3 linked regions of the Saccharomyces cerevisiae S288C genome follow. Changing the gene in region 2 together with the main gene of any one other region gives a genetic interaction. Each region holds a gene or a part of one and is shown on either strand. Other genes may lie near its edges.

The links.
Region 1: mutations in MKK2 (region 2) and COX7 together harm fitness more than expected from each alone (negative genetic interaction), as found in Saccharomyces cerevisiae (3 studies listed by BioGRID).
Region 3: mutations in MKK2 (region 2) and RPL22A together harm fitness more than expected from each alone (negative genetic interaction), as found in Saccharomyces cerevisiae (2 studies listed by BioGRID).

The regions. Positions count from the first base shown.
Region 1 is NC_001145.3:778,303-781,150, forward strand, and holds COX7 (cytochrome c oxidase subunit VII), read right to left. Parts: upstream 826-2,848; coding exon 643-825; downstream 1-642. Other genes in the region: GFD1 (Gfd1p), read left to right, coding at 1-265; PET111 (Pet111p), read right to left, coding at 1,327-2,848. UniProt on the Saccharomyces cerevisiae protein: Component of the cytochrome c oxidase, the last enzyme in the mitochondrial electron transport chain which drives oxidative phosphorylation.
Region 2 is NC_001148.4:287,156-290,920, reverse strand, and holds MKK2 (putative mitogen-activated protein kinase kinase MKK2), read left to right. Parts: upstream 1-1,886; coding exon 1,887-3,407; downstream 3,408-3,765. Other genes in the region: UME1 (Ume1p), read left to right, coding at 1-1,252. UniProt on the Saccharomyces cerevisiae protein: Serine/threonine protein kinase involved in a signal transduction pathway that plays a role in yeast cell morphogenesis and cell growth.
Region 3 is NC_001144.5:261,207-264,487, forward strand, and holds RPL22A (60S ribosomal protein eL22 RPL22A), read left to right. Parts: upstream 1-1,987; coding exon 1,988-1,999; intron 2,000-2,388; coding exon 2,389-2,742; downstream 2,743-3,281. Other genes in the region: FRS1 (phenylalanine--tRNA ligase subunit beta), read left to right, coding at 1-1,560; BMT6 (25S rRNA (uracil2843-N3)-methyltransferase), read left to right, coding at 2,951-3,281.

The sequences.
Region 1 (2,848 bases), on a different chromosome or scaffold from region 2:
AGCAACAGAGATATCTCCTCCACCAGTTTCACCTAGCAAGATGAAAACTACCAAAACACAATCCAAACAGGATACCGCTTCTAAGATGAAGTTATTAAAAAAGAAAATTGAAGAGCAGAGGGAAATATTGCAAAAGACTCATCACAAGAATCAACAGCAACAAGTGTTGATGGATTTTCTGAACGATGAAGGGAGCTCCAACTGGGTTGACGATGATGAAGAGGAGCTTATCCTTCAACGTTTGAAGACCTCTTTGAAAATATGATCCCTCCCATCACATGGACACTTTTAAGCACGTTTTGCTTGAAGAGACATTAGTTTACACCATTATAATTGTTTAATAAATACTAGACATACTTCAAGTGAGAAAATCAATCACACCTTTTTCAATGATTAGCAAATCTTTATTGCCAGGCCTAACTGAAACGATTTATTACTGCGCAAGAAAACAAAGATGGAAAAGGCTATGCTAGTTCGATTAGTTGTTTCCTTATTCTTTAGAATATTATATATGTATATATAAATAAATGGCTTTCATCTTATTTCGAATAAAAATGTTTTGGGTGATGTGTATTGAGCATACACACTTAATATCAAAGAACAATTATAAAGATGCTATGAACGGATGTTATTTTTACCTAACTATGCCTTCTTGGCTTTGATACCTCTAATAGCATTTGGAATGTATAGAAGTGGTGTAACGACGGCTACCGCAAAAATAGCATAAAATGGATACAGGTATAAAGCTGACCTTGGATGTCTCCACCATAGAGGTTTAGTGGAAGATTGGAAGATTTTCTGTAGTTGAATAACTTTATTAGCCATTATTTATTATTGTTTTGCTTTCTGTACTTGTTGGTTTAGAATCTTATATCGAGTTCTACTATTCATGGGATGAATAAATAATATCATCTTTTATTTCTATCCGCCTTTTCAAACCTGCCCCTACCAGGCCGGATTTCTCGGACGATGCGCGGCGTAGCCAATCAAGTACTGCCTTTTTTTTTTTTTGCTGACACTATATGTATACGTGCATATAATCAAACAATAAAGCAATTGTAAGCGTCAGCAATTCTAGCTGTACTAAGATCGTAGTGATTATATGCGCTTATATTTACATGGTATGAAGAATAAAATTTGAATAAATAAATAAACGTACTCTTTACGAGTACAAATCTCAAAACTAAAAGAAAAAAAGGGTTACATCTTGTTTCCAAATAGCGTCTATAGAAATGTAGGGTATAAGTTGATGCAAAGGTTTTTAGCGGTGTGTATGACACACAAATATTTACACGTGAGAGAAAGGAAGGTAAATAACTGAAAAGATTACTCCTCCTCCTTTTTATTCTCTTCAAAAAGCTTCATTTTCCTTTCATTTTGCTCCAACTTTAATAGTGAAATCTCTTCATCAAACCATTCTTTTAAGAAAAGTGTTAACTTTCTCATATTCTCAAGCCCCTGGTATTTATAGTCCACATATCTAAGTACTAACTCGTCAATGCGATCCTTTATCTCCTTGTTATCAATGGAAGCAGCAGTTGAAATGTAAGCAGGCCTTTTCTCAAAATATTTCATAAAGCCTTTGATTTGTCTAATGCAACCTGGAGTAATCAGGCTTGCCCTATGATTACAATTCCAGTCTTTTAAAATCCTACTAAACCGTTCGCTTTCATGCATTCTTGACGCCAACTTTAAAGATGTCATGTAATACATCATCCACTGTTTGTTATTTGAAGTATCCAAATTTTTTCTAGCTTGTGAAATTAGGTAACATGCATATTTGAAATCACGGGTGTGGAAACATATTTGAGTAAGTTGTAAATAGTTTTGAACTGAAAGCTCCTTTTGATGTACTCGTTCAAATTCCTTCAGTTTGAATTCCAGTTCTTTTAAATGTTCAGCAGACAACTTTTCAAAAGATCTATAATTAGAAATGATCTCCCATTTCAACCATAATATATCGACTTTTAGTGGGATATAGCGGAATCTGGTCCTTAATATCACATCAACTACACGTGCCAAACCAGTTAAAGAGTTTCTCAAGCATAATGCCAAAACGGAATACAAAAATGAAAATTGAGGCGCAATGCCCTCCTTCAAACTATTCGAAATCACCAATTCTGCTCCATATACATCATTGTGAGAAACTTTTTTCTTGAACTCTTCAAACCTTTCAAAATCAACCGCGTTGAAACCAGATAACGAAGAGTCTTCTCCTCCATTGATCTTTCTCGTATGGATATGGGCATTTTCTTGTAAAAATGTGTACACCCAAGTGAGACATTTGCTGTATTGGCTCCTTTTTAGAGTCACAAGTAGGTCATTTGTAATTTCTTTTGCCAGCATTGGATAAACATTTACGGCACATGACCATAATTGTTGAATAAATGCGGGCCGTAATCGCGTTTTACCATCAGTGGTTTTAACTACACTGCGATAATATTTGAAAAGTCCTTCGAATTGATTGGTGTTGACAAAATACCTAGAAATGCACAAATGAAACGAACCGTCTATGCTAATATCATTATCTCTCTGGATTTTTTCCAAGATTACTTTTAAATTCTCGAAATTGTTAGTAGAGACGTACGCTTGAACCACTGACATATATAGCTCTTTTCGTGTTGAAATATTATTATTAAGTCTGGTAATAAATTTATCAACTCTTTCCATCAATATTGAGTCATCAATGCTTTTTGTTCTGTCTCCTTTGATGCAATACAGAGAATGACAAAATTCAATCAACTCAAACTGCACACTTGATGTATATCCCGTACTTAAAACAACGGGATTGGTTAAAAAATCGTTTAGCTCATCTGTATTAGAAAAACGTAATAACATTCTGTGTATT
Region 2 (3,765 bases):
ATCTCCATCGACACTTAGGAGTATAGTTTTCACTAACGATAGCTCATGTAATAAATCCAAAGGTGTTTTGAGCGTACCACTTTTATATTCTCAAGGGAGTGAAATCTTTGAGGTGGATTGTATAGTGCCACTCGGACTTCATTACAAAAAACCTGAAAGCATTTCAGAACCGTTAGTACAACCGGATTATACCATGGAATCTCAAAAGGTGGAGCAGACTGTTTTGATTCCAAAATGGGAATTTAAAGGTGAAACGATTGCAAAGATGATTTACGTGGATAACAGCGAAATAAATGTAAAGGTGATAGCCCTTTCTACCAATGGTTCTTTGGCATGGTTCAGAGAAGGTGTCAAATCGCCCGTTTACACAATGATGGAGCCATCCACTTCTCTAAGTTCAGCATCGTCCGGAAATCAAAATAAACCCTGTGTTGATTTTGCAATTTCTAACGATTCAAAAACCTTAACAGTAACTAAGGAAAAACATCTTGATAATGAAAACGCTACAATAAAATTGATAGACAACTCAGGTAAAATAGGAGAAGTGCTTCGTACAATACCTGTTCCTGGCATAAAGAATATTCAAGAAATCAAGTTTTTGAATAATCAAATATTCGCCACTTGTTCTGATGACGGTATCATAAGGTTTTGGGGTAATGAGATAGGCAAAAAGCCCCTTTGGATTCTAAACGATTCTTTGGACGGCAAAACAACTTGTTTTGCTGCATCACCGTTTGTTGATACATTATTTATGACGGGAACTAGTGGTGGGGCTCTCAAGGTTTGGGATATACGTGCAGTTATCGCTTTAGGGGATGCTGATGCTGAGTTAAATATCAACCAAGGACATAATAAAGTCAATGAACTATTCAAAGTTCATCACTTTTATAGCGAGCAAGTGTCCAAAATAGAGTTTTCTTCCATTTCGCCTATGGAAGTGGTTACAATTGGAGGGTTAGGTAATGTTTACCACTGGAATTTCGAACCTGTTTTTGCCATTTATAACGAGATACATGAGGACTTTCAAGGCATAATATCTGACGAATTGGAGGCCGAAAGCATGGCATTTTATCACACTGAGGGCTGCAGAAGAGAAATAGGAGAAAATAATAAGGTTAATACCGTTGCTTATCACAAATACATTGAGGATCTAGTTGCTACAGTTGATAGTGACGGGTTGTTAACTGTATATAAGCCGTTTACTGGAAAAGTTTTAGATGGCAGTAGAGAGGTTGGAGCTGCCAAAAGTTAATTTTTATATTATTTAGGCTGTTTGAGTTTGGGGCGGAAATGTATGAATAAATTGTGTAATATTTAGTCTTTACTTCAGCTTTTGTTTTTCTAAAAATTTGTTTTTAATGTTTTATTGTCTGAAGTAAACATTAATTATTAGCTTGAGAATTGCTCTACATGTATATATAAACGGCAAGGATCTACTCTTTAATATAGAGAAATGTACATACCTTTGAAAACGCGTTTTCAGAGTTTAGAATGTATAAGGTAACCTTAGAACCACATCTCTTATTGCCAGACTCTCAAAGGTGAACTGATATTGAGCCTATTTTACCCTTGTTTATGTTCACTTTCTCAATGCGAAAAAAAATCAAAAAGAAATAAACTTTATCCTTAGAGTTGAAGAATTAGAAAGAGAATAAATCAAAGGGATCAGTTGGGAAAGCTCAATACTTTCCGCTTAATTTTACTGAAAACCTCATCAAACACGTAGGCACATATATATTCATATATTTATATGTTGGCTACCTTCTAATTTGCATGAAATTCGTTCGCTCAAAAAATTAGACATTTTACTAGTAGCAAGTATTACCTGATTAGCATAGCAGGCACTGTTATCATATCTACAAAATACCAATTATATACACAGGATAATGGCTTCAATGTTCAGACCACCAGAATCCAATAGGAGTCACCAAAAGACTCCAAAATTAACGCTTCCAGTAAATTTAGTTCAAAATGCGAAATCCACTAATGATGGGCAACATCTCAACCGGTCACCGTACTCGTCAGTGAACGAAAGCCCATACTCCAACAATAGCACTTCAGCTACTTCCACTACGTCATCCATGGCTTCAAATTCCACTTTGTTGTACAATAGATCATCTACTACAACTATTAAAAATAGACCGGTACCACCTCCATTACCTCCCCTAGTACTAACGCAAAAAAAAGACGGTATAGAATATAGAGTTGCCGGCGATAGTCAGCTTTCTGAAAGATTTTCTAATTTGCATGTTGATATAACTTACAAGGAACTACTATCTAGTGCTCCAATTTCCACTAAGTTATCCAACATAGATACCACTTTTATCAAGAAAGATCTCGACACACCAGAAGGCGAGGATTCATACCCCTCGACACTTCTTTCTGCGTACGACTTCAGCAGTAGCGGGAGCAACTCCGCCCCTTTAAGTGCAAATAACATAATTTCTTGTTCCAACTTAATACAAGGAAAAGACGTAGACCAGTTAGAGGAAGAAGCATGGAGGTTTGGGCATCTCAAGGATGAGATTACTACACTAGGAATTCTAGGAGAAGGCGCGGGTGGTTCTGTAGCCAAGTGCCGATTAAAAAATGGAAAAAAGGTTTTTGCGTTGAAGACAATCAACACTATGAATACTGACCCAGAATATCAAAAGCAAATATTCAGAGAGCTACAATTTAATAAGAGTTTTAAGTCCGATTATATTGTGCAGTACTATGGTATGTTTACCGACGAACAGAGTTCTTCAATATACATTGCCATGGAATATATGGGAGGAAAATCACTGGAGGCAACGTATAAAAATTTGTTGAAACGTGGCGGTAGAATAAGTGAGAGGGTGATAGGAAAGATAGCAGAATCTGTCTTAAGAGGTTTATCATACTTACACGAAAGGAAAGTCATCCACAGGGACATTAAACCCCAAAACATTCTTCTTAATGAAAAAGGGGAAATCAAATTATGCGATTTCGGTGTCAGTGGGGAGGCTGTTAACTCTTTAGCGATGACATTTACTGGAACGTCATTTTATATGGCCCCAGAACGAATACAAGGCCAACCATACAGCGTAACCTGTGATGTATGGTCCTTAGGATTAACTCTTCTGGAGGTTGCTGGAGGGAGATTTCCATTTGAATCTGACAAAATAACGCAAAACGTGGCTCCTATAGAATTATTGACGATGATCCTGACGTTTTCTCCCCAGTTGAAAGATGAGCCAGAACTAGACATATCCTGGAGCAAGACATTTAGATCTTTTATCGACTATTGTTTAAAAAAAGATGCCAGAGAGAGGCCTTCTCCCAGGCAAATGTTAAAGCATCCCTGGATTGTAGGGCAAATGAAAAAAAAAGTCAACATGGAACGGTTTGTAAAGAAATGCTGGGAAAAGGAAAAGGATGGGATATAAACTTCCAACATTTTCCTCTCGTAACCAGAACTGACTTTTTCTACAACAGGAATTCTTTAACGAGACTTCTCCTCCTTCACCATTCATAAGTTTAACGATGTTCTTTTATTATCTAGACACTCCGAAATATTCTTAACATATACGTATATAGTTTACTGAAAACCGAACTAGCCATGGGCTATGAAAGTTCTCCTATTTCCTTACTTACATCAAATAGAAATGCGCATCCAAGTCTTTCTGGCAGGCACGCTATGATGTGCTAAATTATGACTCAAGTGAGTACTAGGCGCTTTTGTACTCAGCCGCGCGGGGAAAATTTCTTCCCTCCCTACCAAAGAGGAAAAAATCATATGGCGTC
Region 3 (3,281 bases), on a different chromosome or scaffold from region 2:
TTGGAACGTAAAGAAAGACCTGACTATAAATTAAGCAAGCCAACCACTAAGTTGATCATCGACAAATCAACGGAGCAAATTAGACCTTTTGCTACCGCTGCTGTATTGAGAAATATCAAGCTTAACGAAAAATCTTACGCTTCTTTTATTGCCTTGCAAGATAAATTACATGCCAATCTATGTAGAAACAGAAGCTTGGTTGCCATGGGTACTCACGATTTAGATTCAATTGAAGGTCCATTCCATTACAGAGCTCTACCACCAAAGGACATCAAGTTCGTACCATTGAATCAAACCCAAGAGTTTACTGGTGACAAATTGATCGAGTTTTATAAATCTCCAGAACAGAAAAACAACATAGGGAGATACGTTCACATTATTGAGGATTCTCCAGTCTTCCCAGTTATTATGGACAGCAAAGATCGTGTTTGCTCCCTGCCACCATTAATCAATAGTGAACATTCGAAGATCTCTGTGAACACCCGTAACATTTTGATTGATATAACCGCCACCGATAAGACCAAAGCCGAGATCGTTTTGAACATATTAACTACAATGTTCTCACGTTATTGTGACGAACCATTCACGGTTGAGCCTGTAGAAATTGTCTCTGAACACAATGGCCAATCCCGTTTGGCGCCAAACTTCAACGATAGAATTATGGATGTCTCCATTAAGTACATCAACTCCTGTCTTGGCCTAGATCAATCCGCTGATGAAATTGCTCATTGTCTAAAGAAGATGTCGTTGCATGCCGTTCAATCAAAGGAAGACAAGGACATCTTGCACGTTGACATTCCGGTAACTAGACCTGATATTTTGCACGCTTGTGATATAATGGAAGATGCCGCTGTCGGTTATGGTTTCAATAATTTGCCAAAGGGTGAGAAATTATCCAATGCCAACTTCATTGCCAAACCATTACCAATCAACAAGGTTTCTGATATTTTCAGAGTTGCATCCTCTCAAGCCACGTGGGTTGAGGTTTTACCATTGACCTTATGTTCGCACGATGAAAACTTTAAATTTCTAAGACAATCCGACAATGGTGATTTAGCTGTCAAATTGGCCAACCCAAAGACTTTGGAATACCAAGTTGTTAGAACCACTTTATTGCCTGGTATCTTAAAGACAGTCAAGGAAAACAGAAAACATTCCTTGCCAATCAAAGTCTTTGAAACCGGTGACGTTGTATTTAAAGACGACAAACTAGAAAGGAAGGCGTACAATGAACGTCACTGGGCTGCCATCTACGTGGGTAAGAATTCTGGGTTTGAAATCATTCAAGGGTTATTGGGTAAAATCATGCAAACTTTTAGAACAGAGTGGATTGCAGACTACGGTGCTGCTGCTTCTGGCAGAGGTTACTGGATTGAAGAAGACGATTCTGTGAAAACCTACTTCCCAGGTAGAGGTGCCAAGGTCATGTTCAGATCCAAAGAAGGCGCTGAGCCAAAGCAAATCGGCCACTTGGGTGTCTTGCATCCTGAAGTCATGATGAATTTCGACGTTCCATTCGCTGCATCCTTTGTAGAGGTTAATGCCGAAGTCTTCCTATAATGTAATGTTCTAACAAAAATTTTTACTGATTTATAAAACTTATATAGATAGATAGACACATATATATATCTATATATAGAAACACAACTAAAGTTTACCATGTTTTATATAATATTACTACCGCTACTGAGTAAATGTTTAGCTTGTACTTAACTTTCAAAGACAGTTTTTTTGATAAACATCAGTACATTTAATAATACATCCATACATTTATGTTAATTTGTTTTTCCTTTCCACCTCAGTGCGCTTCTCTTTTGAAAAAATCCTCAACAGGCCACGCGAACAAATCTTACCGAGAATTTCCTAAAATGTTTCAAACTATCATTTAGCTGCATACAATATGTACATTATTAATTGAGATTAACAACTTTACCTGTACTTTACCGTTATCAAATTATAAACCACCAAAACAACAGATTAAGAAACAATGGCCCCAAACGTATGATACTTTAAAAGGAATCCACGCCCGATTACGAAGTCTATGTTTTACTGTTATTGTAATGATTGATTGTACGCGAATAACAAGGAAGATAGTAAAACCAAAAAAAAAAAAATAAAAATGTACGAAACGAAGAAGCGTCTATGTGTTTAGTTGCTTTTCTGTATTTTAAAAATTCACTACTTGAACATTGAACTCTATATCGACTCCCTTCTTTTTATCCGTTTCTGAATGTTTTTTTGTTTGAGATTGTCATATGTGATTGTTAATAGCAGTAGGCAACTTTGTGGTTTCGGGATTGAAAGAAAATCGTGAAATATTCGTTTTTTACTAACATTACTGTTCTGAAAATTTTTACTAATTTTCAATCTTTAATTTTTTTGATATAGACTTCCAGAAAGCAAAAGATTGCCAAGACCTTTACCGTCGATGTCTCTTCTCCAACTGAAAACGGTGTCTTCGACCCAGCTTCCTACGCTAAGTACTTGATCGACCACATCAAGGTCGAAGGTGCTGTCGGTAACTTGGGTAACGCTGTCACTGTCACTGAAGATGGTACCGTTGTTACTGTTGTTTCCACTGCCAAGTTCTCTGGTAAGTACTTGAAGTACTTGACAAAGAAGTACTTGAAGAAGAACCAATTGAGAGACTGGATCAGATTTGTCTCTACCAAGACCAACGAATACAGATTGGCCTTCTACCAAGTCACTCCAGAAGAAGACGAAGAAGAAGACGAAGAATAAATTCATTAATATTATTTTAAATAGAGCATAAGTTTTGTATAATTAAAATCTTCTAAACCTAATAAATATGTTTAATGAATGATTCAATATCAAAAAAAGAAATCCATTGGGCCCTTAGTGCATTTTTATTTTTTTTTTTTTTTTTTTTTTTTTTCTCTTTCTGAATTAGAGTACATCTCATCGCAGGGTCTCTTTTTGCACGTTTTTGATGTTGCTTATGAGACGCTTTGCCTTTTTAACTTCTTCAGTATATTTTAAATATATACCAATTTATTCACAATATCATTACTCTTCTCAGTTTCCAATTAACATGAATCCTAAAAAAGTGGCCCAATTGCCCGTTCACAATAAATCAACGCTTCCACCACAGGAAATAATCGATCTTTTTAAAATAACATTCTTAGAAGAGCTATATCCAAAAGATCAAGACAATGAAAAGTCACCGTTAACTGAACAAATACAGGCGGTAAAATCTGACCTTTATAACAGAGATTACAATGCTGCTTTCAATAACGACTCGAAAAGAATAGCATATTGTT